4 linked regions of the Elephas maximus indicus genome follow. The protein of the gene in region 2 interacts with the protein of the main gene of each other region in a pairwise test. Links are inferred from orthologs where the notes say so. Each region holds a gene or a part of one and is shown on either strand. Other genes may lie near its edges.

Evidence for each region.
Region 1: the proteins of PSMA1 (region 2) and MID2 interact in binary tests that used the Homo sapiens proteins (3 or more experiments, as listed by UniProt). The two-hybrid records come from large-scale screens. The link is inferred for Elephas maximus indicus from reciprocal best matches to the Homo sapiens genes PSMA1 and MID2.
Region 3: the proteins of PSMA1 (region 2) and PNMA2 interact in binary tests that used the Homo sapiens proteins (3 or more experiments, as listed by UniProt). The two-hybrid records come from large-scale screens. The link is inferred for Elephas maximus indicus from reciprocal best matches to the Homo sapiens genes PSMA1 and PNMA2.
Region 4: the proteins of PSMA1 (region 2) and TRIM10 interact in binary tests that used the Homo sapiens proteins (3 or more experiments, as listed by UniProt). The two-hybrid records come from large-scale screens. The link is inferred for Elephas maximus indicus from reciprocal best matches to the Homo sapiens genes PSMA1 and TRIM10.

Annotation. Positions count from the first base shown.
Region 1 is NC_064846.1:50,053,854-50,061,238, forward strand, and holds the start of MID2 (probable E3 ubiquitin-protein ligase MID2), read right to left. Parts: upstream 3,010-7,385; 5' UTR 2,804-3,009; intron 2,732-2,803; exon of another isoform or gene 2,658-2,731; intron 2,630-2,657; exon of another isoform or gene 2,200-2,629; intron 1-2,199. UniProt on the Homo sapiens protein: E3 ubiquitin ligase that plays a role in microtubule stabilization. Mediates the 'Lys-48'-linked polyubiquitination of LRRK2 to drive its localization to microtubules and its proteasomal degradation in neurons.
Region 2 is NC_064825.1:69,851,430-69,859,228, reverse strand, and holds the start of PSMA1 (proteasome subunit alpha type-1), read left to right. Parts: upstream 1-4,788; 5' UTR 4,789-4,895; coding exon 4,896-4,898; intron 4,899-6,251; coding exon 6,252-6,296; intron 6,297-6,568; coding exon 6,569-6,670; intron 6,671-7,036; coding exon 7,037-7,140; intron 7,141-7,799. UniProt on the Homo sapiens protein: Component of the 20S core proteasome complex involved in the proteolytic degradation of most intracellular proteins. This complex plays numerous essential roles within the cell by associating with different regulatory particles.
Region 3 is NC_064840.1:47,008,533-47,015,771, reverse strand, and holds the start of PNMA2 (paraneoplastic antigen Ma2), read right to left. Parts: upstream 3,014-7,239; 5' UTR 2,944-3,013; intron 461-2,943; exon of another isoform or gene 458-460; 5' UTR 333-457; intron 30-332; 5' UTR 1-29. Other genes in the region: DPYSL2 (dihydropyrimidinase-related protein 2), read left to right, coding at 3,422-3,775.
Region 4 is NC_064819.1:89,831,189-89,838,889, reverse strand, and holds the start of TRIM10 (tripartite motif-containing protein 10), read left to right. Parts: upstream 1-4,697; 5' UTR 4,698-4,886; coding exon 4,887-5,315; intron 5,316-6,735; coding exon 6,736-6,831; intron 6,832-7,463; coding exon 7,464-7,694; intron 7,695-7,701. Other genes in the region: TRIM15 (tripartite motif-containing protein 15), read right to left, coding at 1,851-2,231. UniProt on the Homo sapiens protein: E3 ligase that plays an essential role in the differentiation and survival of terminal erythroid cells. May directly bind to PTEN and promote its ubiquitination, resulting in its proteasomal degradation and activation of hypertrophic signaling.

The sequences.
Region 1 (7,385 bases), on a different chromosome or scaffold from region 2:
TCAGACCTAAGTACAGTAGGTGTGTCTCCCAGAGGGCGTTAATAATGCCAAGGTATGGTTTCCAGTAAACTGGGGTTCCTACTTATACCCAGTCTAGCCACTATCCCAATAAAAGGTAAATGGAGTACTTTCTTCGAAAAGTACAATGCTGAGTGTTTATAGAACCCTTTCATCTTCAAAAGACCCAGCCAAGACTCACAATACTCTGTACACAATATTATGCCTTTTACATAAGTGCACCAACTATGAAAGAAAGGTCACAGGGATGCCATAAAAGCCAATGCAACATCAGATTTGGGATGAACTCTCTGATCTTCTTGGCTCCTAGACCTGTATTTCAACTACATAAATCAAATTGTGTGGAGTAATCAGGAGAAATCTAATTTACTTTATATATCTGTATTAAGTCAATTGATTGGGTAGCAATCTATATAAAAATGGCAAAGACTGTTCCCCCTCGGTGCAAGGAGAGGCGATGTAAAGGGGATGGGGGGGCTAACCAGCTGGGACCGCCCAACACTGCTCCCGAAACAGAAGAAAAGAGAGGGGGGCTCCCCACTCAGCATTCTTCCTACTATTATTGGAACATTGCCAGAGAACTGACTACAGTTCTGGGAGGGAACAGAATGGGGTTAAAGGCAGCCCTTATGGCTCAATTTGAGAACCCAAAGAATCAACCCACACACAGCACTTGTTTATGTACAGTTTCAATATATTCCTTTTTAAGGGCCCCTCTGGGAGTCCTGGTAGTGAAACCATTAAGCCCTAGGCCACTAGCTGAAAGGTTAGTGGTTCGAACCCACCCAGCGGCTCTGAGGGAGAACGACCTGATGATCTGCTCCCATAAAGATTACAGCCTAGAAAAACCCTATGGGGTAGTTTTACTCTGTCACATGGGGTGGCTATGAGTTGGAATCGAGTACCCAGCACACCACCACAACAACTGGGTGGCGCAAACGGTTAAGCTCTCAACTAGTAGCTAGAAACTTGACTGTTCCAGGCCTGCCCATCTGCTTCCAAAAGGTCACAGCCTTGATAACTCTATGGAGCATAGTTCTACTCTAACATGCATGGGGTCACCATGAGTGGGAACCTACTAAGTGACTACTAACAACAACTCTTATTTTAACCTCAGAGGCACACAACTATTACCATCCACCCCTCACGTCAGAGATCCTTAAAAAGACAAAGTGGTTGAGAAACAAGAGGCTGCACGGCTGGGAGGTTACTTGAGTGCACAGGGTGATGTGGAAAGGCTGGGGTGGGGGGCGCTGGATTTGAGAGATTTGGGTGGACAAATTGGTGTGTGACAACGTAAGAAGGTGACTGACTGAGCTCGAAGGAAGGTAGGGGAGTGTAGAAGAGGGAAAATGAAGAACCAAGCGACCCCAGGATCCCAATTTCCTGCTCTGGGAAGAAATGCCTCCGAAAACTAATGTGCCGCTCACGAAGTGCTAAGCTAAGTAGCCTAAACCTTATCATCACAAATAATGTTTCTGTAAATCTACTCCGCTGTTATTAGTTCTTACGAGACAGGAATGGAAGAACCCCACCTCTCTCCAATTCAGTCTCAGCCTGTCCTGTGGACATATGTAAGTTTTCCTTCTCCCCTAAAGACCTGGTCTCACAGCTAGGCCATAAAGAATGAACCATCCATACGGAGACTAGACGCTTGCTCGCTCCCCTGGCAGAAAAAGGATTAAGTTTCGCCTGGCCTTCCCGCCGGCAGGGTGTCCGCAGCATCCCCGGCTGCTGCGGCAGCCACCGCCAGGCAGCCAGCCGTCCAAGGGGCGCCGCCCGAGCGGAGGAGGCTGCCGGCAGCGGGAGCGTGGGAAGGCGGCGGTGCCCTTTCCCAGACTCCCGCCCGGGCGCCGGGGAAGCCGCTCCACTGTCCGAGCCGACTCAGCCGGGCTGCGCGGGAGGCCTCGGCCGCCCCCGCCCCGCACCCGAGTGCAAACTCCCGTCCCAGGAGGGCAGTGGCAGGAGCCCGGGTCCCAGTGTCGCAACCAGGAGGCAGGGCTGGGCCGGAGCCGCCGCCGCCTCGAGCCTCTCGGCCCGATCAGCCCGCCCCACCGAGCCCCAGAGCCCTTGGCCCGACCCGGCCACGGCGGCACCTGAGGGGCGGCCGGAGCCCGGGCCGAGCCCTGCGCCGGCGGCGGCGCTCAGCCCCAGGGACGGTGGCTAGGGGGCACGTTTTACCCAGAGCGTTCCCGGGTGCCAGCCATCTCCTAGGCGGCGCGACGGAGGGCGCCGGCCGCTCGCTTCTCTCGGCAGCGCTCGCTCGGGCTCCGGCGCTAGCTCCCGGGCCGCCGCCGCCGCTGCTCTAGGCCGCCGCCCGCCTTCACCGCCTTCGCTTTGGCCGCCGCCGCCGCGCAGCAGCCGGGATCCGCCTGCCCGCGCGCCCGGCAGGGGACAGCACGGCGGCTGCAACGCTGCCTTGGCTGAATCTCTCGAGCCAAACTTAAAGAGTTTTCGCTTCTCAGTCCAGGAGCAGCACCATGACACCACGGCAGCACCACACTGTCATTTCCGCCGCCGCAGAGAGAGAGAGAGAAAGGCAATCCCTTCGAAAAGGGGAGTGGGTGGGGGCAAACAGGGCTGGGGCTAACGCCCCGAGGGAGGACCAAGCAGGGCCCCGGCCACCTTCCCAGGCTCACCTTCCGCCGCCTTCGCCGCTCCCTTCTCCCCCAGCCCCTCCTCTGGAGGCACATTTATATGTTTTCTCCCCAGGTAGGAGTGACCGGTGAAACCTGAGCGAGCAAAGGCGGCGGGTAGGTGGGGTTCGGGTTACTACTGTACCTACCAGCTGATTCCAGCGGCCTTTTCTCCAGCGCCCTGTCATCTTGAAGGAAGACACACCGAGAGGGGCCCGGGCGGGCGTGTGTGTGTGTGTGTATGGTGTGTGGTGTGTGTCTGTCTGTCTGTCTGTCTGTGTGTGAGAGGGAGAGAGAGAGACAGAGAGAGAGCAGAATGTGTGAGGAATGCCAAAGGAAGTCAACAGCCAAACTCTTCTCCCACCCGCCACCACCCCCCCTCTCCCCCGCCCTGCCCCACAAGCACCCCCCAGGTTAGAACAAAAAGGCTGTTGCAATGGGCAATGAGAAGAAAGTGTATGGGGTCCACCGCACAGGTCCACGGATGAAGCTGCTCTATGTAAAGTTAACTACAAAGTACATAAAACAAAAATAGTGGAGGAGACAGAAAGGAGCAGACAATTGAAGGAAACCCAACCCCTCTTTCTTTTTACAAAGGGAGAATGGCTGTGTTTTATTGGCCTTGGGCAGAAGTTGTGGAGATGGATTAAAGCCACCAAAGGAAAAAGAAAAAAAAAAGTTTCTTTTGCACCTTCAAATCTTTGACCATCAACACAAGAGGGTCGTTACTCAGAGGACAATGGGGCAGATGCCAGCTATCTAGGTATTTGATGTCCCTAATAAGCTGATTGGTCCATCTGGAACCTGGGAGTACCCCATTGGTCTGCAGTCAGAGTCTCCGCTGACCTGTCGTTGGTTCAGTGATGCTGCCCCCACTCACCGGATGGATAGGAGAGGAAAGGAAGAGGAGACTCTTAACATGACAAAGAAAAAAAAAAGAAGGAACAAAAGAATGAGAAGGGGGGGAGAGAAAATGGAAGGAAACAACCCCCACACACATAGACCTCCCACTACTGTACATGGATGGGAACAAGTCCAGAGAAGTTAAGGTAGCTCTGGGTGTATCCCGTCAGGGACCAATAGTAATCAGCCAATACCTCTGTTAAACAATGTTCTAGAGAACACTAAGGTGGAAACCAAGGGGAAAATCACAGCCAGCTATCCTCCTGATGAAAGTCCAGCCCTAAGAGAAGTAAAAGTTAGTAAGTCAGAAGTCAGCTGATGCAGCCTAACAGGGGATGGATAAATAAATATTGTCGTTTCTGAAGAAGGTTATGTTTATATTATTACATATATATTACAATATATATATTATAATTACATATATATTACAATATATATATTATAATACGAAGATTCTTTTTTTTTTCTTTCCTCGTATATGGAGCCCTGGTGGCGCAATGCTGCTAACCCAAAGGTTTTCAGTGCGAACCCACCCAGCCGGTCCGCGGGAGAAAAGAACTGGTGATCATTGCTCATAAAGATTCAAAAAAGAAAAAAAATTGTCCTAGAGCCGATTTTGATTTATTAAAAAAAAAGAAAAACAGTTGCCCTTGACTTGATTCCTACTCGTAGTGACCCTATAGGACAGAGTAGAACTGCCCCAGAGGGTTTTCAAGGGATGGCTAGTGGATTTGAACTGCTGACCTTTTTCATTAGCAGCTGATCTTTTGACCACTGTGCCTCCAGGGCTCCATACACATATATTTATACACATATATTTATAATATGTATGAAATATTGTTAAATGAAAAAAAGCAAGGTGCAAAGCTGTGTATGGTTTGCTACCACTTGTGTGAAAAAGGGGGGAGGATCTGTCCCTATCTGCTTGTATATGCACAGACTCTAAGAAATGGATTATATTGCTTGCCTGGGGGTTAAGCACAGGAGGGTGACATACTTCACATTGTATATGCTCTTTTATATTGTTTGAAATTTTTATGATGTGCATGTATTATCTTTTCAAAATTTTTTTTAAAAAACAATGAAGTATACAGAACAACAAATACAGGTTATTCTATTCATGTAAAATAAGAAAGTCAAAACCAAACCAGTTGCCATCGAGTCCATTTGGACTCATAATGTCCCCATGTGTTACTCTGTACTCAGTTTTACTGGTGCTCTGTAGGGTTTTCAAGGCTGTGACCTTTTGGAAGCAAGTCATCAGGCCTTTCTTCTGAGGTACCTCTCAGTGGGTTTGAACCACCAAACTTTCTGTTATCAGTCAGGCACCTAACCTTTTGAACCACTCACGGACTCCATGTTAAAAATATATATATATACACACACACATATATATGTATACATATGCAGGAAAATACATAGAAAATAACCCGGTAGATAGGAAGCTTAGGGGACAGTGAGTTTATGTCAATGATGGAGGAATAACTTGGAAAAGAAGGGTAAGAATCTTTGCACAACCTGAAGAAAATAAGTGCCCCTGAATTGTACATGGAGAGATTGTTGAGTTGGTCTGTGTTTTGCTGTGTATATTTTCAACGACAACTACAAAAATAAAATAAATTATTTAAAAAAAGAAAAGAACCTGGCAGCATACTGTAAATGGTGCGACCCTAGAATTGGAATGCGTGTGGAAGGGGACTTTTGGTTTTAATTCTATATATTTTGTAATTATTTGAATATTCTATAATGAGAATTTCTTCATGCATTGCTTTTTAATTTTTTAAAAATCAGAAAAAGGTACTTCTCCAAGACAGAAGTTGAACCCAAACTTGAGTCAGAATTCTGAGAATTCTTATTGAAGCTCACTGGGTATGATTCCCACAGAAAGCTGGAGAATTTTCTAAAATGGGAAGAAGTAACTGCTTTCATCATGAACACCCATGAACAAAGCTAGAACTGGGAGTAGAGAGATTCCCTTCTAATGATCTTTATCGTCTTTTAGAAAGCATCCTATCCCTCACTTGTTAGCAGTCTGGCCTCGACCTGAGCTTCCAGTGCTTTCAAGATAGCCCCTGGCTTTCCACAGATCTATCCTGGATGCCTTACCCGCCCTGTCGTCCCCAGGCAGCAATCCATTCTTTGAAACTTTCCTTTCCCTCCCCTAAATTTACCTGCTTCCGTATCCCTTTCACACAGGACCTTACTAAATAATTAAGGAATTCAGTCAACTAATTCAACCTAACACCTTAATAGCTGCATTGTTTCCCCCTTAGTAGATGGTATTTTAATTTTAACAGAGGCCTTCAATATATTAAGTCAAAAGAATGACTAATAGTGTGTGTGGGTAGGGGTGGAGAGTAGGGAGATTTTACTAGTCACATCACATAAGCAGCTGCTTTGAAAAATATCCTCACTTTCAGATGTTTTATGTAAATTACCGACTAAATTTATTAAAGTAAATGTTTTGTATCTGGCAGGCAATGTAAAATCGGCTGGGATTATGTGATGAAATTATTTGTTTATAATTATTTAATGGTTACCTTTGTATACAACATGTTAATCGTATTAACAAACCTGGCCCATGAAAAAAAGACTTTTGACAGTTTCGGCTTGAGGTGTTTAATTGAATTAATCTGAGGCCGACTTGCCACACCACAGGCCTACAGTATGAAAGGGACAGCTCATGGGCTACTTTTTCCAGCTAAGAATGTCGGGGGTGGGGGGACGGCTCCAGATACTTTCTACAGAGAGAAGCACAGAGACCAGTCTGTTTCAGAAGGGAAAAAATCACAGAAGGGTGATTTTGTTGCACAAGAGAATCCTTGCTTCTGCAAAAGGGAACCTTCAGACGGCTCTCAAAAGAAGCAGCTAGTTGTCTGAAATCCAAAGAGGATGACCAAGGGCTTTTCTAACTGAGAAGCTCTTAACAGGATGGTGAGAAGAAAAGCATTTTTGGCATGGAGTCATCAATAGCACATTGTTTTAAAACTAGTTGTGAATGGGCCATGTAGGCTGCCTAAGAGAGTGATTCAAAATAAATATGTTCCCAGAATGGAGAGGTAGCAAGCTTCTGGTACTTCTTATTCTCCTTTGACCTATATTTTACTAATTTTTTTAAATATAATTTTTATTGTGCTTTAAGTGAAAGTTTACAAATCAAGTCAGTCTGTCACATATAAGCTTATATACACCTTAGGACATACTCCCATTTACTCTCCCCCTAATGAGTCAGCCCGCTCCCTCCTTCCAGCCTCTCCTTTCATGACCGGTTTGCCAGTTTCTAACCCTCTCTACCCTCCCATCTCCCCTTCAGACAGGAGATGCCAACACAGTCTCAATTTAGTAATGCTTTTATCGACTTTGTAATTTGTCTGAATTGTTGTGTCTGTTACAATAAAAATGTACGTTTGCTATCTGTATTACATTGGTAAAATATTTTCCTGCAGCTTTAATTAGTATTTAGGCCCAACCCTAAACCTTACCGTGGACCATACATTCCTAACCAGCAGCACCAGGTCACCTGGAGTCTGGTTTCCATGGCACCACATCCTCCATGTTTTCCTTCTGTGTCACCGGCCTGGTGGCTCCACGGTTAAAAGCTCAGCTGCTAACCAAAATGTGGGTGGTCGGAACCCACCAACTACACTGGGAGAAAGATGTGGTGGTCTACTTCCATAAAGATTAGAGCCTTGAAAACCCTATGAGGCAGTTCTACTCTGTCTTGTAGGGTAGCTATGAGTCAGAATCAGCTCGAAGGCAAAGGATTTTTTGGGACAGTCAGGTTAACACTTTTTGTTCAGTAGTTGGTAGGTGCCGTCATGTTGGTTT
Region 2 (7,799 bases):
CTCAATATCATCCATAAGAACTAGGCCAGAGGCTGGCTGCGGAAGAGTCCATCAATTGCTCATATTCAAGTTGAAGCTGAAGAAAATTAAAACAAGTCCATGAGAGCCAAAGTATGACCTTGACTATATCCCACCTGATTTAAAAGCTCAGTATTTCTCAAGCTGAAAGAACTGAAGAAAAAATTCAAGCCTCAAGTTGCAGTATTGAAGGATTCTATGGGCAAAATAGGAGCCCTGGTGGCTGCAGTGATTAAGGGCTTGGCTGCCAACTGAAAGGTCGGCAGTTCAAACCCACTCGCTGCTCCACAGGAGAAAAGACCTGGCTACCTGCTTCCTTAAAGACTACTGCCTTGGAAACCCTATGAGGCATTTCTACTCGGTCCTATAGGGTCACTATGAGTTACAATCGACCTGATGGTAACAGGTTTGGTTTTTGGTTGGGTAAAATACTGAACAACACAGGAAGCAACAAAAAAAAAAAAAAAAAGGAAGGAATATCCAGTCACTGTACCAAAAAAAATTGGTCAATGTTCAACCATTTCAGGATGTAGCATATGATCAAAAACTTGAAAGAAGAAGTCCAAGCTGCACCGAAGGAATTGTCGAAAAACAAGGCTCCAGGAATTGACGGAATACCAAGTGAGATGTTTCAACAGCTGGATGCAACGCTGGAAGTGCTCATTCATCTATGCTAAAAAAATTTGGAAGACGGCTACCTGGCCAACCATCTGGAAGAGATCCATATTTGTGCCCACTCCAAAAAAGGTGGATCCATCAGAATGTGGAAATTACAGAAAAATTTCATTAATATCACATGCAAATGTTAATTTTGCTGAAGATTATTCAAAAATGGTTGCAGCAGTACATTGACAGGGAACTGCCAGAAATTCAAGCCAGTTTCAGAAAAGGACTTGAAACAAGGGATATCACTGCTGATGTCAGATGGATCTTGGGTGAAAGTAGAGAATACCAGAAAGATGTTTACCTGTGTTTTATTGCAAAGACATTCATCTGTGTGGACCATAATAAATTATGGATAACATTGCGAAGAATGGAAATTCCAGTACACTTAATTGTGCTCATGCAGAACCTATACACAGACTAACAGGCAATCATTCGAACAGAACAAGGGGATACCGCTTGGTTTAAAATCAGGAAAGGTGTGAGTCAGGTTTGTATACTTTCACCATAATTATTCAATTTGTATGCTGAGCAAATAATCCAAGAAGCTGGACTGTATGAAGAAAAAAAATGGGGCATCAGGATTGGAGGAAGACTCGTTAACAACCTGCATTATGCAAATGACAAAACCTTGCTTGCTGGAAGTGAGAAGGACTTGAAGCACTTACTGATGAAGATCAAAGACTATAGCCTTCAGTACGGATTATACTTCAACATAAAGAAAACGAAAATCTTCACAACTGAACCAATACGCAATATCATAATAAACAGAAAAAGATTGAAGTTGTCAAGGATTTCATTTTACTTGTATCCATTATCAACACCCATGGAAGCAGCAGTCAAGAAATCAAACAACATATTGTACCAGGCAGATCTGCTGCGAAAGATCGCTTTAAAGTGTAAAAAAAAAAAACCAAAGATGTCACTTTGAAAACTAAGGCGGTTCTGATCCAAGCCCTGATATTTTCCATCTCTTCATATCCATGTGAAAGCTGGACAATGAGTAAGAATGACTGAAGAAGAATTGATGCCTTTAAATTATGGTGTTGGCAAACAGTATTGAGTACACCACGGACTGCTGATTAAAAGCTGGCTGCTAAGCAAAAGGTCGGCAGTTTGAATCCACCAGCCACTCCTTGGAAACCCTATGGGGCAGTTCTACTCTGTACTATAGGGTCGCTATGAGTGGGAATCGACTTGACAGCAATGGGTTTATACAGACAAATCTGTTTTGGAAGAATTACAGCCAGAATGCTCCTTAGTAGCGAGGATGACAAGACTTCATCTCACATACTTTGGACATATTATCAGCAGGGACCAGTCCTTGGAGAAGTTCATCATGCTTGGTAGAGGGTTGGCGAAAAAGAGGAAGACCCTCAAGGAGATAGACAGACACAGTGGCTGCAACAACGGGCTGAAACAGCAATGATTGTGAGAATGGCACAGGGCCGGGCAGCGTTCTCTTCTGTTGTACCTAGGGTCGCTATGTGTTGGAACCGACTCGATGACATCTTGAGTACTCAGGAAAGTACTCAAAATGTGTGAATGTACAAGAATTATAGCATTATCTATAACAGCAAAAGTTTGGAAATAATCTACTCACCAGTAGGTAAAGTAAATTACTGCATTTCCACTCGGTGTAATACTATACGACTATTGAAAATAATATAGACATAAAAGATGGCCATAACTTTTTAAGTGTGCTATTTTTTTTTAGTATGGAAGAGCTTAGTATGATCTTGTCTGTGAAAAAAATTGTATGTTTATTATATCTCTGTGTGAGTCATAAGTATACATAGGTAAGTGAAAAATGATTTTCAAAATGTTTCTGTACTGTAAGTCAATTTTAAAATGAGCATTTATTTAATCATGCATTTGATATTATTATCTATCCATTCAGCAAATATTTATTAAGCATGTAGTATATTCTAGGCAAGAAGCCCTGATGGTGCAGTGGTTAAGTGCTTAGCTGCTAACTGAAAGGTCAGTGTTTTGAACCCATCAGTCGTTCCATGGGAGAGAGATGTGGAAGTCCCCTCTCATAAAGATTACAGCCTTGGAAACCCTATAGGCCAGTTTTACTAGATGGCAATGGGTTTTAGGTTTATAAGGTCACTATGAGTCAGGATCAACTTGATGGCACTGGATTTTTGGTATATTCTAGGTATGATGCTGGGTGCTGGGGAAACAATAGAGAAGAAGCTCTCATAAAGCTTATGGTCTAATGGAAACCATACTTTCATCAGGAAAAAGATATTTTCATTTAGGGGAAAAAACTCATCTTTTGGAAAAATGTATATATGCAGCACATATGACAGAGTTAGTGTCATTAATATTTTAAAAAATTCTTGCAAATTGAAAAGAAAAAGACAAACACCTTGAAAAACAGGTAAAGACCATGATGAGAAAGTTGCAAAAAATTACAAATAAGCAAGAAAAAAATGGCTAGCTTCACTACAAATCAAAGAACTATGAGTTAAAATCTTACTTTAATCCATTAAATTAACAGTATTTTTTTTTTTTTAATGACAACTAGTATTGGTGAGTTAAGGAGGAAGGCAATGTCATGCACTATGTCGAGGGTATAGACTGGGAAAACATTTTTGGAGGGCAATTTAGAGCTTTTATTAAAAGCCTTAAAAATGTCTATTTCATTTGATCATACAATTCTATTTTTAGGAACTTATTCTAAAGAAAAGAGCATGGATGTACACAAATATATATATATATATGTATACAGCAACCCATAGATGAGTTGCTTATGGAAGAGAGGGGGAAAATTAAATATTCAACTCTAGGGATTTTGATAAATAAAATAGCGTAATGCAGAATGACTCCGGAGTCATGTTTAACATGTTCCCATGTTAAAAGCCACAATATATAAGTGGAAAAAGTTTTAAAGGAGTGTGTTCAGTGTTATCACATGCTGTAAAATATAATAAATATATGTACATAAAAAGAATTAAAAACGAAACCTCAAATAATATTGAAAATTCACAGTGCTTATTTTTGAGTGGTGGAATTCAGAAGTTTTCATTTTATTTTAGATTTTCTACAATGATCTTGTTTTATTTTCGAAATAAGAAAACATTTAAAAGTATACTGAAATTCTTAACAGCAGTGAGACTGTTTAAAGAAAGGACACTTGAAAGCACTTAAACAAAATGAAGACAAACTTGCTGACCTAGGAAAGGGCATGGGACCTAGGTTCTGACACTAAATTGCTGTGAACTTGAGGGGATCATTTAAATATTCTGAACCTGTTACTTCATCCGTGAACTTCAGAGTGGCCTGTAGGATCCTTAAGGTCCCTTTCAACTCACCTTTCCTGAGTCTCGGGGCTCAACCTTAAGGAAGAAAGTAAAAGTCCCCTTTATCAGTGCACATGTTAGGTATTTCCAAAGCTATTTAACCCACTTCATTTAAAGATTTATCAAAAAACGATCTCAAAAGAGAAAACATCCACGTTTTCTCAGCAGCCTACTCTACCAGGCAACGTGCCTGGTTCTGAGGGCTCAGAAAGACTTTAGTGCCCTCATAGAGTTCAAAGCCTGGTGGGAGAAATCAATACTTAAAATAAAAAGTGATAACTGACAACAGGGCTTGAAAGATGAGTTCTCCAGAGAATAGGGTAGAGTATTCTAAAGAGAAAGAAAAGCCCCGTACATACACAAGACACTAGAGGGAGGCCGTGGCTAACACACACAAAGGGACCATTGTTTTGTGGTCCTTCTGGCAGCCTCATTCTTCTCACAGTCACACAACACCCAATCTCTGTGGAGGCTGAATGAGAGGATCTAGAGGAATTGCAGCAGTCGTTTCCAGAGGTTTCATGTGTATTCGCTCGGGCGGGTGAAACTGGAGGGAATCGGCAACACAGAAAATTTTCACCAAGGCACCAGGAAGGCCCAGGTTGTGAAGGTCGCTTCGCTGCTCTTAGCCGCCCGGGGCACTTTCGATTGAGGGTTTCCCGCCAATCTCGGTTCCTCTGTCTTCTAAGGCCCCGCCCACCCCAGGGAGGCTGCAGGCTTTGAGGGCCCGCACGCATCAGGAACCTATCGATGTCTCTGGAATAGACTGCCCTGCCCTGCCCTGCCCTGCGCCGTAGCACCCAAATCCCGTAGTCTTCTCTGTCGATTGCCGAGCGATAGTTTCGGCCGCGCTGTTTGATCCGCCGTTTTACCAGAGGCCGCCGCAAAGCCCGAGCTGGAACCATGGTACGTTGGGTCCCGTGCCGCTGCAGGGTTGGGGTAGAGGTCCGATATCTTGGGGGATGGCAAGTCGCTTCTCCTGTCACGCTTTGAGCACCCCGGGGTCTCGGGAGCCTCAGCCGACGGGAGAGCCTAGACAGTGATTCAGCATCTCCGGCCAGGCCGGGCGAGGAGCTGTCGGTAGTCGGTGCGGCCTTTACTCCGGGGCGTTTATTTCGTTTCCCGCGGGACTTTGAACACCTCCTACCCGAGTCTGCCCCTCAGAGTCCTTCGCTGGTGTAGATTCCGAGTAATCCAGAGTGGCCCTTTATGCTGTTTGTGGAAGAGAGAGGAGAAAATAGGGATTTAATTTGGAGGCTTTCCAGTACCTCCAGTGAGGACTTGACCCCAGGATTTGGGTTCCAGGACTGCGCCCATTTTCCTGGTAGGCCTGTGTGATTTACTCTCCCCTGCGACTCAGTCAGAAAATGCCCTTTTCAGTCACTTTTCTAATCACCTAGTTCAATAAATGAGAGGGAAAGTGATGGAATCAGGGTTACAGTACTATGTTTGCCTTTCCAGCGCTCAGCCTTCTCACCCCATGGTTATTCTGTCAAGGACTGTGCTGATAAATTTGTCAATACTGTCATTACAGCAGTAATAATTCTGTTATTGCACTTATTTGCATCCACCTCCAACTTCTGAGGACAGTTTTCTGTTTATTCAATATGAATGTATGCACACTACACTGTTTTAAGTGCCGTGATGGTTCAAATATAAATCAGGTATGTCCCTAATCAGAATATAAGGTAAAAAGGGAAGTGTAGGTAAAGAATTATGAGAGTCTGCATTGGAAAGATTTTTGGAGAAAAGATGGAGAAGACTTCAAGGAAGAGACTTTGAGCTAGTTTAAAGAAGAGGAAGGGTATGGGCCATATCTTAGAGTCCAGTATAAGGGGACAGCATACACAAAGATATATGGGGAAGAGAGAAGAGAAAATAGGGATCTGACTTGGACGCTTCCCAAAAAGTTGTATGAACTTTAATAATTGACTGAACCTGTGGGGTTGCCATGAGTTGGAATCAACTTGATAATAGCGGGCTTGGTTTGGCTTGGAAAGGGAGTGCTATGGAGAGTGGTAGAATAGGAAGTTGGGAAACCATGACCCATCCAGATTTACACACTCCCCTCCAAGACAAATGTATGTAAAATTGACTTGCAACTGAGTAGAGTAGTAATCTTACAATAAGGTTGTATTAACAACATTGTGTTTGTGTTGAATGGAAACGTATCTGTGAACATTTCTTAATGATACAGCATATTGAGAATTGGGATTTGTAATGTTCTTAATTAATAAATCTTTTTTCTTTTACTTTCAGTTTCGCAACCAGTATGACAATGATGTCACTGTTTGGAGCCCTCAGGTAAAATAAGTCATGTGCCGTTTCTATGAAGTGGCTTTTGGTGGCTACAATATGTTTAGAAAGTTATGAGATTGTATGCTGTGAGAACATGGAATATAATCATTTTAGATATTTCTGGAACTTAAAATTTTCGTTAAATATTTCCTGGTTTAAAAAAAAAAATCATTTGAGATTTAACAATGCTCACCTGAAGATTGGAAGCTCCACAATAACTTCTACTTTGTAATAGTCTTCTAACATGACTCTAAGATGTGTCGTTTTTTTCTCTTCAGGGCAGGATTCATCAAATTGAGTATGCAATGGAAGCTGTCAAACAAGGTTCAGCCACAGTTGGTCTGAAATCAAAAACCCATGCAGTGTTGGTAGCATTGAAGGTGAATAAAACAATAAATATGTCCTTCTCCTTTAGAAACAGAACTACCAAACATAAGTTTCACTGTATAGACAATAAAGTCATAAATTTTTTTTTCATTGTTGTGGTAAAATATGCACACCAAAACATCTGCCAATACAACAGCTTCCCCATGTACAATTTAGTGACATTGATTACATTGTGCCACCATCATCACTACCCTTTTCTGAAGAATTCCACCACCCTTAATATAAACTCAGTGCCCCCCCAAAACCAAAGTGCCTCCTTTCCCTCTCCTTCCTACCCTTGTAACCATTAATAATCTTTTATTTCTGTATGTTTGCTTATTTCATCATAAACTTGCCTTTTTGTCTTATAATGTCTCTAGAGGGCACAGTCAGAGCTTGCAGCTCATCAGAAAAAAATTCTCCATGTTGATAACCATATTGGTATTTCAATTGCGGGCCTTACTGCTGATGCTAGACTGTTATGGTGAGTATGATTATGAAGAACAAAAGAAATACCCTTTTTAATTCATATTTGACTAGTCTACATTTTAGAAAAGATCTAGGTAAAGTATTTTAGGAAGTTGTTTGCCAGAATGTTTATAAATTAAAATTGTGGGCTTAGTGGATTTGGGCTCAGTTACTAACTGTTCCATTGCTTGGTCCCTGTGTGGTAACTAATAGGATAAACCGTATTAACACTGTTGAGAAAAAGTTGAATAACATGATACTTGTTGATTCAATGTATATTGTTTGAGTCCGTGTCTGAGAAGAGCTAGACGCTTGTCTGGTTTCTAAGGATGAGCTGAACCACCTTGCTTCCTTTCATAAGTATTTACCATATTAGACATTTATTTTTTGCAAACCTCAACCCTGGATACTGTGGAGTATACAGAGGTGAATCATACGTGAATCTTGATTTCAAAGAACTTAAAATCTAGTTGTATATAACGAGCCTAATAGAATACAAAGTAGAAAGAGGAGAGTTTTCAAAAAGTAACATGTAAATTTCTGTGAAAGTCTGGAGGAAATAGAGATTATTTCTCGTTGAGAGGCAATATGTAAGTGAAGAGCTGGGGCTCTGAAATCACATAAATTGAGATCAGTTCCTACCTTCACCACTTTGAGACGGGGCTAGTTACTTAC
Region 3 (7,239 bases), on a different chromosome or scaffold from region 2:
GAAGTCTCACAGTAGCGTGACTTGGACTCCTAGTGAAACAATTTTCAGTTTTACCACTGAAGCATACCAGGAAGCATACATATTCTAGTTTGGGAAGGAAGTGGGGGTAGACCAGGGGTTTTGTCTTACATTGTACCTGTGTCTAGCCCACTCTGTCAAGAATTCTTCTTTGATTATAGTGACTTTTTTATTTTCTCTTGGGGACCCTCTGAAATACAGCTTCCCCAGCATATGCTCATCAGACATGTCAATCAATGTCTAAACCCCACTTTTGGACAAGATCCAAGATTTTTCCCACATAAGGGATGAAATCAAAAGATGTGGCTAAATACCTGTTTATATGTTCCAGAATGTTCCTTGAGAGTGAACAGCTTATTCAGCTTCTAGTATAGGATGATGTCACCCAACTCCACACGATGGTGTCTCTGAGTCTTAGCTCCAGCCAAGTCAAGATGTCCTGCTACACATAAAAATCATGTGGTTTTATAGCTCAATAATATGCAGTCATAAAGACTGTTTCTACACTTATTAAAAATATGACAATCTTTCACGATTTAGCTAGCTCTACTAAACAGCTATTGAACTGCTTCCTTTCTTTGATTAAAAAATACCCAGTTAGGAATCGGTCAAACATTTAAAAATAATTTAATATATAGATAGCATTTAGAAAAAGAAAATCTTAGGGCCAAATACACTAAACTTGGAATCATGGACTAATTCTTTTTTGCTACGTCTGGTTAGTCTTTGGCATTTCTTTTGTTATGAATGGTTACTATCACAACACTTTTTTCTCCTAGCATTTGAATTTAAATGGGTCATTCAAGGCAAAAAGAAGCCTATCTACTGAGCTTGTCCTGGAAAGCCTGTGGAGACTGGGAATAGAAAGTCGGAAGAGTGATGCCTCCCAGTCAGCGTTGCTGGAGTACACGTTAGGGTGCTACAATCATTCTCCCCTTGGCATGAAAATCTCCATCAATCTGAGGAAGGTCCATATGCTATGATACCAACCTGTAGCTAGAACAGCAGCTGCTCCTGTTGCAGGTACATCTCCTGAGTCCTTCTAGGAGGTGCTGAAGGCACCATAAGTGCCAAAAGGCCAGGAAAACAAAATGCTATTTTACTCCTATCCCCAGGAGCCCCAAGGACGTGAGCTCCTACCTGCAATGTGACTTTCAAATAAAAAAAGCAAGTGAAACACCCTTGGTATCCAATAGGGCCATGGATGGAAGTACTTAGATATGGAAAAAAAAAAAAGTGAAAACCTTATATTTTCTCACATCAACAGAACCAATAGGATAAACTGGAAAAGGAACAGATTTTCAGATGGAAGACCCCCAGTGGAACTGTTGCATCAGTTAACTAGATAGGTCACCCTGGCCAAGGTCCCTCAATCCTTTTAAATCACAGTTTCCTAACCTGGAAAATAGTGACAATAAACCTGTCCCATTTATCTAACAGGGCTGCCGTGAGTAGGTAATAACGTAATTCACGTGAAAGCATTTAGTTCAAAAGAAGTCTATCTGATGCTAAATCCGGAATACCTGCCTATGGGGGTCTCTCGCCTGCTCCATATGTGTATTCTTCTTCTTCATTCTCCCCTCCTCATTTTGAGGTTCATTCCCACCTATGATGGGCTCATCTTCACACTGTGACTAGTCGTCCTCCAAATTTAACCCCATTCACCAAACCATCACTGACAATAGGGGTGGGGGATCCACATTTAATCCTTCCAGGGACAAGGGTTGACAACGGTACTGAATCCTTGGCCCGTAATGCCTGGCGTGGTGACGCTGCGGGAAATCGCCTCTTAGCCCAAACCCGCCCTGGTCACAGAGCAAGGCCAGATCTCCCTTCTGAGCCTCGGATGGGTGGGCATCATTTTCGCAAAATTTTGCCACTGTAGGAAAAGAGGGGGGCTGCACTCGATCAGAAGCAGAGATTGATATACGGTAAGAAGAGGACAAGAAGAGTAAGCATCGACGGCGTTACTGACACAAATCAAAATGACACCTGAATGCCTACCGACCCGGTGGTCACGGCTGAAACACCCCCATAGAAACACCACACCTCCACACAGTTGCCCCTCTTGTCCCCAAACGCAATTCTCTGCATTCTATCACAGTGCGCACCCTGCCTCCTAGTCCCCAGCGGATGCGCACACACTAACACCACAAGCACGTGGCGTCTGGCCCTGCTCTGGCGCAGTGCGCAACAGGGGCGGGGGAGACTAGGCGGGGTGCTCGGGCGTGAGGAAGGCCTGGAGATTTAGGGAGTGGGCTTTATTCTACGTATTTTCCCCTTTGGAGAGGGGCGGTGGAAGATATCAAATCAAGACACTCTCCTTGGCCCTTCTTGGCGCAGGGGCGCAGAAATATTACATGGGGCCCTCAGGCAATGTAGCGGGTCTACACCCTCTCTGTCTTTACAAGTGGCTGCACTGGAATCCGCAGACTGCACTCCTTGCTAAAACTCCCATAAACCACAGGCTTAAGTCTCTCTTTATACCTCCTCATTTGCTACGCCCCTCTGCATTTCTTCTGAACACGTTGTGCACCCCCCACCCCTGGGGATACACCAAGCAAGAATGTTCTCGCTTCATCCTTGCTCCACGCAGCCCACCAAGGCCCGTGGGTGACTGGGGCTTTGGTTTTCCGCGCCTCGGATGGCACCCTATTCTCCGCACCGCCTGCCATTCCCCATTCCCACTGACGCCCCCCAGTTGTCCTGACTTCTGCCAGATTGTCTCCTTTTCCCCATCCATCAGCAAATACCCCGGGAAAGGGGAGGGATCCCAACCCGCGGAGCCCCCAGCCCGCGGTTCCATCTCCGCAATGCGGTGAGAGGGAGAGGCGCCTGGGCCAGGCAGGTGGGGGAGAGGAGGGCAGGGGACCAGGGGCTGCGTTTTCGGGTCGTCGCCTACGCATACCCAGCCCCTCTACTTACCCTAGCGCCGGAGAGCGGTCATCAGGCCCCGCACTCGGCAACCGTTAGCCGGTGGTCTGGCCGCTTCACTTCCGGAGCGTGGGGCTCGAGATGGCGTGGCCCGCCCCTCCCCTCCCCTCCCCTCCTCGGCGCCCCGCCCCGCGCCCCCCCTCCTAGCGCAGCTGCAGGGAACAGGCTGCCTCTCGGCTCCCGCAGCCGCAGCGGCCGCCCTCCCCGGCCTAACTTCGCCGCTCGCCGGAGCTTGCGCGGAGGCTGGGGGCGTGGGCAGGGAGGGGGAGAAAGCAGGGCCAGGGGGAGGGGCTGGGAGGGGTAGACAGCCCGCTCCAAAGCCCTCCTTCCTTTCTGTACACCTTGCCTTAGGCAGAAAGAGACATCCGTGGCAGCAGCGGGGGATTTTTGCACAGATAGTGGGAGACTTAGGGACTGGCAGACAGACAGACAGACGGAGGAAGAGGACCCTTCCCCAAGCCATCGCGCCATGGCTGAGAGGAAGCAATCCGGGAAGCAGGCAGAGGACGAAGAGGTCCCTGCCTTTTTTAAAAAGCTGGGCTCAGGCAGCCCCAAGCCCCGACAGAAATTCTGTGGCATGTTCTGCCCGGTGGAAGGGTCCTCGGAGAACAAAACCATCGATTTCGACTCGCTGTCGGTGGGCCGGGGCTCGGGGCAGGTTGTGGCTCAGCAGCGGGACGTCGCCCACTTGGGCCCCGACCCGCAGCCGCCGTACTCCCGGCAGGGCCGGCGTGCCGGCGGGGAGCCATCTGTTGAATCGAGCCGGAAGGTGGAGATCCGTCGGGCCTCGGGCAAGGAAGCCCTGCAGAACATCAACGACCAGGTTGGTATGGGAGGGCGGAGGAGATGAAGGACGGGGCGTGTGGGAGTTGCCTCTCCCTCCCGGCTCCGTGGAGACCCGAGAATCCAAGGGTACCCTCTTTCCTGCTCCTTCTTTAATGTTGCCTCTCTGCATATGCACACATACCCCACCCAACCTGCCCCTTCTCCGCCCAGGGTGCGGAGAGGCTCGTCGGTGGGCGGCTGTACGCCCACAAAGGCTGCCCGCACCTCTCTGGATCTGGGAGGTGGGGGATGGGGGGGGGTAAAGGACTGGCTGATTCCCGGCCCGGGGTTGCGCGGAGGGGAGTGGGCCGCGGTTTCATTCTTCTTAAATCCTCCCGGGCGGCTTCCGATTGCAGCTGTGGCTGGGTGCCCCACCCTTTTTTGATGCAGCTCGGAGCGTGCGGAGGAGGGGTTCGCGTGAAGGCCCGTGAGTTCCCTCGGGTTCGGGAGGGGTCGGGGCTCCGACCACCGCTCCCTGCCCGCTCTGCGCCCTCTCTGGCTGCACCTTCTTGGGCGCCTGTCGCTCTCGGGTACCGAGATCGGAGGCCAGCACCATGGTCAGCGCCTCTTCGGCTCGCCTAGGAGAATCTCACCACCCTTAACTCCTGGTCGCAGCGTGAGAAGAGTGAGGGAGAATGTGGAGTCACCCGAGGAAACCGAGACGCTTCTCAATAGCCCATGTGGAGAACAAAGTTCCGCTAAGTGCCTCAACAAGGGCTTCCCAGAGCTCTCCCTCTGCCGCTATTTGGGAGGTGCTCTGGGAATGGGAACTAAGTGGATTATGTTCAAAGGGTAAAAAAAGGAGGAAGAAAGAAACCCTCACATTTTGAATAGCATGTCAAAGAAGATTAGCCCTTTTGTACTGTAAATGAGTCAAACGAAGTCCAATTTGGTAAACCTTGATTTTAGAAAATGTTGGCCATTATCTGACAAATATGAACAGTGCACATTTTAAGTACAGTAGCTTTTTCACACCCCAGCTTTTTCTTTAACTGGGTGACCTTCATACTCGCACATTTTTTCCTCACAGCCTCAATTTCTCAGCAGATACTCTACAGTGCAAAATGTTTCATCCCTTGTTTGCTGTTTCTCCTGCACCCGTTAGGTTTAGCTTTCTGTGAAGATGAGACGTTAATTAATGATTATTGAATACCTATTGTGTGCCTTGATTTTGGGGCAGGAAGGTTAGCAATAAAAACTTAAAGGCAGTTTCTTTTCCTCACGGGGCTTCCAGAGTGGTTGGGAGTGGCCTGTTCCTGTTCATTGTGGGGTTCAACAAGCATTTACAGTGTAAGCATTTTAGAGAACAACATAGAGTAGGTGGTAATGGCCCTAGAATGGTGCTCCTGTTTCCTGATGTGGCATTGAGTTTTGCAGCTTTTGACTTTTATAGGAACAAGTCTAACGAAGTTAAAGCATTTGCGATCATTTTCATAATTTATACACTCCCCCCAGCTCTGTTCTCTGATGTTTTCATATAGGAAAGTATCTCATACACATATTTTATCATGAGTCAACCAGAAGAACCCAAATCCAGAAAATTCTCTTTGTTGCAAGTGACAAGACAATTGAAGCAAAAGTTTCTAATTGTGTAACCTAGACTAAAAGCTGAAAGTGAAATACTTTCCTAGATGAATGCATTGGGTGAGAGCCAAGCTTATATAGCGTTATCGTTATGTGAGTAACCTCATGTACAGCAAGTTGTCCTGGCAATTCTAATATCCTAGAGGGAGCAGAAGTATATTATGGAGAATAAGGAAGAGATCATTTATAAAATGGCTTTTGGGGGGTGTTAAGAGTGGCTACCCCATCATAAAAAAAACAGCAAATTAAAACTCAAGTCTGAAAGGCAAAGTTGCAATGAGTTAAATAACACATCTCTTTCTCCTGTCCATTTAGAAGCTTAGATGTTTGATCACAAGAGCTACTTGTTTGAATACTGGCTGAATTTAATAGAAATTCTAAATTGTATACCTATGGTACATGGAGGGAGAGATTTGAAGTGATAACATCCAACCAAAACCAGGGCATTTTTAGCCTCAGCAAACCTCAAATCAAATCCCGCTCCAGTTGCCTGAATATTTGTAGTAGGGAGATTCTGTCTTGGCCTACCTGTAGCCCTCCCAGAGTTTTCATCTTCAGTCTAGACTTATAGCATAAAGACTGCTCCTGTGGGATTATTTTCATTCAGATCAGGAGCATTTACCTGGATTGGTGCTTACAGTGTTCAATATTTCGTGTCTGTACAAGAGGAAAAAGGCATTTGGTGTGCATGTATGTACATGGATATAACTGGTGATTTCAAGGAGCCCTGGTGGCACAATGGTTAAGCATTCAGCTGTTAACTGAAAGGTCGGCAGTTGGAACCCACTAGCTGCTCCATGGGAGAAAAGACCTGGCAATCTGCTCCTGTAAAGGTTTCAGCTTAGCAAACCCTATGGGGCAGTTCTACTCTGTCCTATAGGGTTACTAGGGGTTGGAACCGATTTGACAGCACACAATAATATAGTGATTTCTGAAAGCACAGCTGGGTCCACCATTTTGACCAAATTGACTAGTCATCACTTAGTTTTCAACTAATGAGTAGGGTGACTCCCAGCATTTTAGTGCATTTCTGTAGGAAGGCCTGGCACAGAGAGAAATGGGGGAGAACTAGAGGGAATGAATCCCAGGGTGCCTGATTAATGCCCTTTGTCCTCCCCTGAATCTGTATTTATAGGTGTTGCTAAGGCATGGTTCAGAAGAGGCTTTGCCCATGAGCCCTTCTAGGGGTCCTGCTGTTCATTTAGCAAGGCTTTGGGAAGGGAGGAAACCCTGGTGGCATAGTGGTTAAGAGCTACAGCTGCTAACCAAAAGGCCGGGCAGTTTGAATTTACCAGATGCTCCTTGGAAACCCTATGGGGCAGTTATACGCTGTCCTATAGGGTTACATTTGGGATGAGAGACTTCCCCACCTGAGCTCTAAGTCGAAGAAAATTCCCACTAGCTAAACAGCCTCTTCCGTCTTTCCCCCTTGTAGCCCAAGGATAGAGAGGGGAAGTGCTGCCATTGAACCTGTTGTCATTGACATCTGGTCATGATATCCTGAATGTTGCATAGTACACATACTTATGGCTCTGTGCCATGGAAGTCAATGTTAGCGTAGACAGTTTTCCCAGCCCCAACAAGAACAGGCCAGGATTTCTTAAGGGACCTTTAGTGCAAGTGCCCCTACTACCTCCTTGAGAAAGAAGGGAAAGTCAGAACTGATCATAGATTTGAATATACACTACCATTGAATGTCAGATCTCGAAACAACCTAATGATTGTTTAATCATCTCATTTTGGAGGTGAAGAAAGTGATGTCCAGAAAAACAGTGCTTCATTCCATTGCACTGAGGTGACAGCCCCAGCACTAGAACTGAGGTCTCTTGCTGTTCATTCCCACCGCTGCCCTATACCAGCAAAACCTTATTAGTTATG
Region 4 (7,701 bases), on a different chromosome or scaffold from region 2:
GTACCCTGGAAGAAAGGCCTCGTCCTGGTGATCTGCTTCTATAAATATTACAGCCATGAAACAGTTCTACTCTGTAACACATGAGGTAGCCATGAGTTGGAATTAATGGGAACATGTTTGGTTTTGAGTACCAAGTTCCAGGCACACTGTTAGGTGCTGGGGGATTTGAAGTGAAAAAGGCCCAGTCCTTGTCCCTAAAGAGATCATCATCTGAGGAAGGAGTCAATCATAAGTGGTTAAAATACAAAAAGACGAATGCAATCATAGAGGTGAGCACTCAGTGAGATGGGAGGCAGAGGAGGTGACAATTCTGCCTGTAGGGCTGAGGGAAGGTTTTAGAAAGCAGAAAGCACGTAAAGGGGACCTGCGAAGATAAATTTGAAGTTGGATAAGAGAGGGAGAGAAGAGCATTCTAGGAGGAAGGAACTACATACGGAAAGCACTAGAAGCAAGAAAGAGTCCCACAGGTAAGTAAGGAAACAGCAAGTACAGCTCAGTGTGGCTGGGCACGTGGTGCCTTGGGGAGGGCAGCTAAGAGATGAGACTGCAAAGGAAAGCAGTAACCCAAGTGCGAAGAGCTTGAATGCCTTGTTAAAGATTTTGGGCCTTCTTTGGACATTACGAATCCACGGAAGGATTTTAAACAGGGGAGTGACAGGACTAGCTGGAAGCTCTGCCTCACAGCAGATTGGAGGGTGCTTGGAAAGGCTGAGAAGGGAGACAGAGAGCACATTAGAGATTATACAAAGTCTGGGTGAGGGATGCTGTGGGCCTGGATTTATCAGTGGTTGGTTTGTGATGGACTACTAACCTTAAAGGTTAGTGGTTCGAATCTGCCCAGTGGCACTATGAAAGAAAGGCCTGGTATTCTGCTCCCATAAAGATCACAGCCAAGAAAACCCTATGGAGCAGTTCTATTCTGTAACACATGGGGTCGCCACGAGTTGGAATCAACTCAATGACAACAAGCTTTTTTTTTTTTTGTGGCGATAAGGCAAAGTTAAAGATTCAAGAGAGAAACATTAAGAGATGTTTCTAAGGAAACCACTTCAAGACCTGGTGACTGGATAACAAGAGAAAGATCTGAGAGGCAAAGAGAAATGAATAATGTCCCAAGACCAGATGGGAAATTCTTGTAATACTGGGCTGCTGCCGTGCCTCTCTTTCTCTCAAAGATGAGCAGTGATTACAGGTTACCCTTCATCTTCCCTCACTTTCCTCTGAGCCCCAGTGGTTTGGGTAAATCCTGTATCTCAGGTGAATGTGGGAAGACCACGTGCATCCTGCTCATAGCCTGCAGAGGCTTGTGTTCTGCACTGGACTCTCTTTCCATAGTGAGTGCAGTCAGGGCTGAAATTCTTTGCGTCACTGTGGGGCCCACAGGAAAGTGGCTGAATCAGCTCCATCACGATGGGAGTCCTCTCAGGGCTGGGACTGAATTTCTCCCTAAGACCATGAACTCCCACATGTCCAAGTGGAACCATGTCCCCCCATCAGCCTGGGAGTTTCTTGAGTGTCCCTACAGTCTAGGGGGGAGCCTGGGTAGTGTGTGCCATTTGCAATCAGCTACCAACCTAAAGGTTGGAGGTTCAAACCCATTCAGCAGCTCTGTAGGTGAATGGTCTGGCGATCTGCTTTCATAAAGATCACAGCTGGGAAAACCCTATGGACAGTTCTGCTCTGTAACACATGGGGTTTCTATGAGCTGGGGGCCGACTCCACAGCAGCTAATAAAAATATATCTACAGTCTCGGGATTCTCTTCACCCCGATCCCCACCCGGTTCCCTGCACCCCCCGGCAGGACACTGACCTGCACCAAACATGTCCGAGGTAAAGTCACACTGCTTACCCGGTAGGGTTGAATGGCCTCGTCAAGGAGCCCCACAGAGTGGGCCTGGTGGGAGGGACCCTCCCTGCAGAACACACAGAGGAACTCCGCATCGTTCTCACAGAAGAAATAAATCTTCTCGCCATGCTCCTCACAGTAGGTTTCTCCCAGAGGGCCCAGGGGCAAAGGGACCATGAGGTTCTCTGGCTGCTCCTTCTGCTGGCAGAGGGGGCAGAGCAGAACCCTGCTGGAGGGGTGGGCCCCCATCTGGAAGGGCACAGGGAGGCAGGGCCGGCAGAAGGTGTGTCCACAGGTGGCAGTCACTGCATCCTTCAGGGGCCCTGTGCAGGCAGGACAGGTGGCCCCCTCTCGGAGTGTCTGCAGGGAGGGGGTTGAGGACATCACAGTTCCTTGCCTAGCCCGTCCCTTCAGGCCTCTGGCTCCTTCCCCACAGGAATTCACTTTCCCTGAAATTGACTCACTTTTAAATGCATCTCCAAAGGAAAGGAATAAGAGGCCAAGAGAGAAAGGCAGGAACGTCAGGACGGGAAAGCACCTGGCTCTACCTCTTGTGCCTTCTCAAGGCCCACCCTTCCTGGGCCACCACCCATCAGCTAAGTGGGTCCAAATTCCAGGGTATTTAGAATTACCCAGCATTACCAATGGCAGCCAAGGGAGCCTGATTTCCGTGCAGTTTTATAATGGCTCCTTCCGGTCCCAGGGGTGGGGAGCAAAGCATGACGTGAGGCCACAAGGAGAAGAGGTTTCCTGGAATCCCTCCCTTTACCACAGTTGGGTGGGAAGGATTAAGGAGTGGACAGTTCCTGTCAGATTGAGCAGGTGAGAGCCATAAACTTCTGGCAATGAGGCGTGCCCACGGCAGCAAAGTCCAAGCTGCAGTAGGTGTGACTGACTTCCAGAGACTCTGGGGGTACTCAGAGTTGCTCACTGGATGCTCTACTCTGCCCTTCTTTCCTTGCCTCATCTCATCTCCCCAGGCGCCACTGTCCTCACAAGAGTTTGGGTCACATTGGACTTCGATTTTATCTAAACTGCCGGTAGACAAAGGCAAGGAACCATAATGCAATAGATTCATGCTAATAAAGTTTAGAAGACTCAATTAGTCAAAAGACAAACAGATTCAACCACGTTTATCTAGGGCTTAGTGTTTTCATATTACTATAGGGTTGCTATGAGTTGGAATTGACTTGATGGCAGTGGGTTTGTTTTTTTATATACAAGTCTGACAGCAACCTTGGAGCAGGTATCATTACCTTCATTTTACAGAGAAAGACATGTAAACTGAAAGGTAAAGTGATGTTTCCAAGGCCACAGAACTAGAAAGCACCAAGGCTGGAGACAATCCAAATCTCCTTGCTTCAATCCCTGTGCTGGCATCACACTCCAAGCCACGACAATGGTCTTCATCCACTCGCCACTTCCAGCACGGTTCTTCACTCACCTGCCACCCCGGATCCATGGAGAAAAACATACCTCCTTCCAGTTCCCCACTAAATGATCAGCCTGGCACATCGTTTTCTCTCCCTTTTCATTCCAACTACTGTGGTGATAATAGTTAACATACTTGGCTGCTAAGTGAAAGGCTGGAGGTTCAAGTCCACCCAGAGGCATCTCTGAAGAAAGGCCTGGCAATCGACTTTCAAAAAAATCAGCCATTGAAAACCTTATGGAGCACAGTTCTACCCTGACACACATGGGGACATCATGAGCTGGGGTCAACTTGATGGTAACAGGGACGACACTCTACCTACAGTCTTGCCAAGAGGGCAGTTCTGGGACTGTGCTGTTTAAAACGTGAGCCACCAGCCACATGTGGCTACTGAGCGTTGAAAGGTGGGGAGACCAATGTGAGATGTGCTGTAAGCGTAAAATACACCCTGGATTTCAAAAACTTAGCACAAATGAAAAAGAATGTAAAAACTCATTAATAATTTTCATGCTGATTACCTGTTGAAATGATAATATTTTGGATATATTGGCCTAAGCAAAATAATTATTAAAATTAATTTCACCTGTTTCTTTTTAAAATGTGGCCACTTGAACATTTTAAATTGCATATCTGGCTCACATTATCTTTCTACTGGACAGCACTGGAGATGCACAGACTTGCCTGAAAATTACTGGCACCCACCTTCCTGCTCTGTAACCTTGGGCAAGTTAAATAACCTCGCTGAGCCTCAGCTTCCTCATTTATAAAACGGAGATCCTAATAGCATCTACTTTATAGAGCTGGCAGGAGGGACAAGTAAGATCATCTGATTAAGTTCATTATATCGGTGTCACAGTCATCATAAATACATGCTGTTACTATTTTTCTTCTTTCACCTTCTCCACCCAGGATACATCTCAACCTCATTTAGAGACTGTGATAGGCCAGTTGGGGCATCACCGTTGAAGTTGCCTGGCACTAGGACCTTATCTGAGTGCCCATACTGACGAGAGAGCCCTGCGCTGGCTGATACCCCAATCTCCCTCAAGACAGCTGGTCATATTGCAGGGAGGCTGGGTGGCATCACCACTCCGGGACCCATTCTCCCTTCTCCCTGCTGTCCCCCAAAAGAAGAAATATCTCTTTCAACAGCAGACAGTTGAGATATCGCCACTTCCCTGCTACCGTGAGTGTCTCTAACGAAAAGGACCAGTGAGCCCCAGGCCATGGGCCCAGGTCTATGAGGCCACCCTGGAAAGCTGTGACCCCTTCTTCCTCACCTTTCTCTGCTGTTTTTCTATCTTCTACTGTTGGCGGGTGTTTGTCTCTTCCTTTAAAAGACCAGGACCAAACAACACCAGCTGCAAGGGAGGCAAATGGGAGCTTTGTCCTTGTGGGTGGCCTTCCCTGTGACCATACCCATGTGTGTGGCTGTGTGGGTGCTGGTGCGTATTTGAGATGCACCTGTGTCTGGCCATGTGCACAGGCAGCTGTGTGAGTGTGTGGTGTGAGTCCTCGCTGCTTTTCCAGCCCTCCTCCCTCAGCCAAGCAGGGAGGGCGACCTTGAGGATCAAGTTTGAATCCTGACTCCGCATGGCAGCACCAACATGGCGGCAGCCGCCTCCGTCACCAGCCTGGTCGATGAGGTCAACTGCCCCATCTGCCAAGGCACCCTGAGGGAGCCAGTCACCATCGACTGTGGCCACAATTTCTGCCGCTGCTGCCTCACCCGCTACTGCGAGATCCCAGGCCAGGACCCGGAGGAGCCCCCCACCTGCCCGCTCTGCAAGGAGCCCTTCCGCCCAGGGGGCTTCCGGCCCAACTGGCAGCTGGCCAGCGTGGTGGACAATATTGAACGCCTCAAGATGGTGTCCTCGCCCGGCTTGGCAGAGGAGGACGCCTGCCAGGAGCACGGGGAGAAGATCTACTTCTTCTGCGAGGATGACGAGATGCATCTGTGCGTGATGTGCCGGGAGGCCGGGGAGCACCGGGCCCACACCGTGCGCTTCCTGGAGGACGCTGCGGGGCCATACAGGGTAGGAAGGAGCCGAGCCGGGGCTTCCCAGGGTGGGCCTTCTGCAATTGGGCTGAACTAAGAGAATCAGGGCAGATTTGTGGATTATTTGGGCCACCCTGAAGCCAGTTTCTTTCTCCCTATTTAAATGATCACCCAGGCAATAAGCCCAGTCATGGACAATGGTGTGTTTATGTTTTGTGTTTTTGAGTGTGTTCTGTTGTTTACTTTTGGCCAACACATAATGGAAGCTCAACAAGTACTTGTTGGGAGTCTCTGGGTGGTGGATTAAGCACTGGGCTACTAACAGATGGAACCCACCCAGAGGTACCTCTGAAGAAAGGCCTGGTGATCTGCTTCCAAAAGATCACAGCCTTTAAAACCCTATGGAACACAGTTCTACTCTGAAACACAGGGAGTTGCCATGAATTGGAATCCACACCATGGCAACTGGTTTGGTTGTTCTTTAAGTACTTGAATGAACGAATGAACACAATATGAATGTGCGTTTTGGTGATGTATCAGGCAGATGTGTCTGAGTGTGTCTGGGTTTGTTTTCAGGGAATGGTTGTATGAATGATGTGTATATGTGTTAATGTTTGCATGTTTATGAGTGTGTACAGCATGTTAGGGGTCTGGGTATGTGTGTATTTGAGTGTGTAAGTGTAATTGAGTGCTCGTTTTCATGAATAAATTATTGTTTACATGTGTAGGTTGGGTAAATATATGTGGTGTATAATTTTATCTGTTATTAAATAAGTATGTACTTTTTTATTTGCGTGTTGTGTTTTAGTACAAGTGGGCATCTGGGTGTGTGTGGATGTGTTAAATAGTTAATTAGCATTTGAGAGTTCTAGATGTATTTTGAAAGTACATTTATGTGTATGTACCTGGCCATTTATGTTCCTAACTCTACTGTAGACCAAACAATTTTTTAAAGCAATTCATTGATTGTTTTTATATTACTCAAGTATCTTCCCTTCAGAATCATACAGATAAATGATTCCATTCACAAGGGAGGGTTGTTATGTGGACCTGTTTCATATGTGGTCATATGAGAAACTTGGGATAATTTTGAGATGGTTATCACATGTTCAAAAGCTCAAGACAGGTCTCAGATAACCACTTACCAAAGGCAAACAAAAACTAGGGTGTTTAACCTGGAGAAAGGAAAGCTCAAGTGGGAAAACTGAGTCATAGCCTCTGCTGGCACATGACAAAGAGGAAGAGCCCTGGTCAAAATTCTTGAAGGACAAAGCAAGAGGAACAAGACCTAAAGAGAGTATACTATCAAGGATGATTAAGGCCCAGGCATTGTCAGCTAAGGGAGTGGCTGTCTTCCTTGGGCCATTTTCTTCTTGGAGACAGAGGGTTGAATGAAATGATACCCCTTAACAAATGACTTTTTTCCATCTTAAATATTTTATGCTCCTTATCCCCAGGAACAAATACAGAAATGTCTTGTGTGCCTAAGGAAAGAGAGAGAGGAGATTCAAGGGATCCAGTCAAGAGAAAACCAAAGGATACAAGTCCTCCTTGTAAGTCGCCACTCCTTCTCTGGACCACTTTCCTTGACTCCATCTCTTCCCCAGGGCCCATTGTCTCCCTGAAAACTGAGGCAAAAGAGTATATAGGGCTTTGAGTCATTCTCAGTTTGAATCCTGACTCTGACACTAACTAGGCATGTAACTTCAAGCAACTCTCTAACTTCAGTTTGCTTATCTGTAAAATGGAGATTAAAAGTGGTCACTGCATTGAATTGCTGTAAGGATTAAATGAGGATATACCTGTAAAGTAGCTTAGCTCTGTGCGTATAGTGCGTACTTCATAAAAGGTGTCCCCACCACCTCCCCCTACCCCTTCTCTACGTCCTATCCCCTTAGAAGTTCTAGAAGATGGTGCTGAGTCAATGCCAGACAGTCTGTCTCCCAGAAATGGGATGGTAGGGGGAAAGGAAAACAGTCAGCAGTTCCAAATCTATCTGGGACCAGGGGAGGACTCTTATTCTACCATTGCCCCTGGGGGATGTGAATCTGGGCCAGGAGAGAGAGGGGAGTGAATTAAGGAAAAAGAAGAAAAAGGAAGAGGAGGAAAACAAAAAAGAAGACGATGAGGAGGAGGGAGAGGAGGGTAACTAACTTCCTTCTGGGGTCTTCTTCTCCCTCCTCAGACTCAAGTGGCCACCAAGAGACAAAAGGTAGTTTCCGAGTTTGCACATCTGAGCCAGTTCCTGGAGGAACAACAGAACATCCTCTTAGCCCAGCTGGAGAGGCTGGACGGGGACATCTTGAAGCAACGAGAAGAGTTTGATTTTCTGGTCACTGATGAAATCTGCCGGTTCAGTACTCTGATTGCAGAGCTGGAGGAGAAGAATGAGAGGTCATCAAGGGAACTCCTGACGGTGAGAC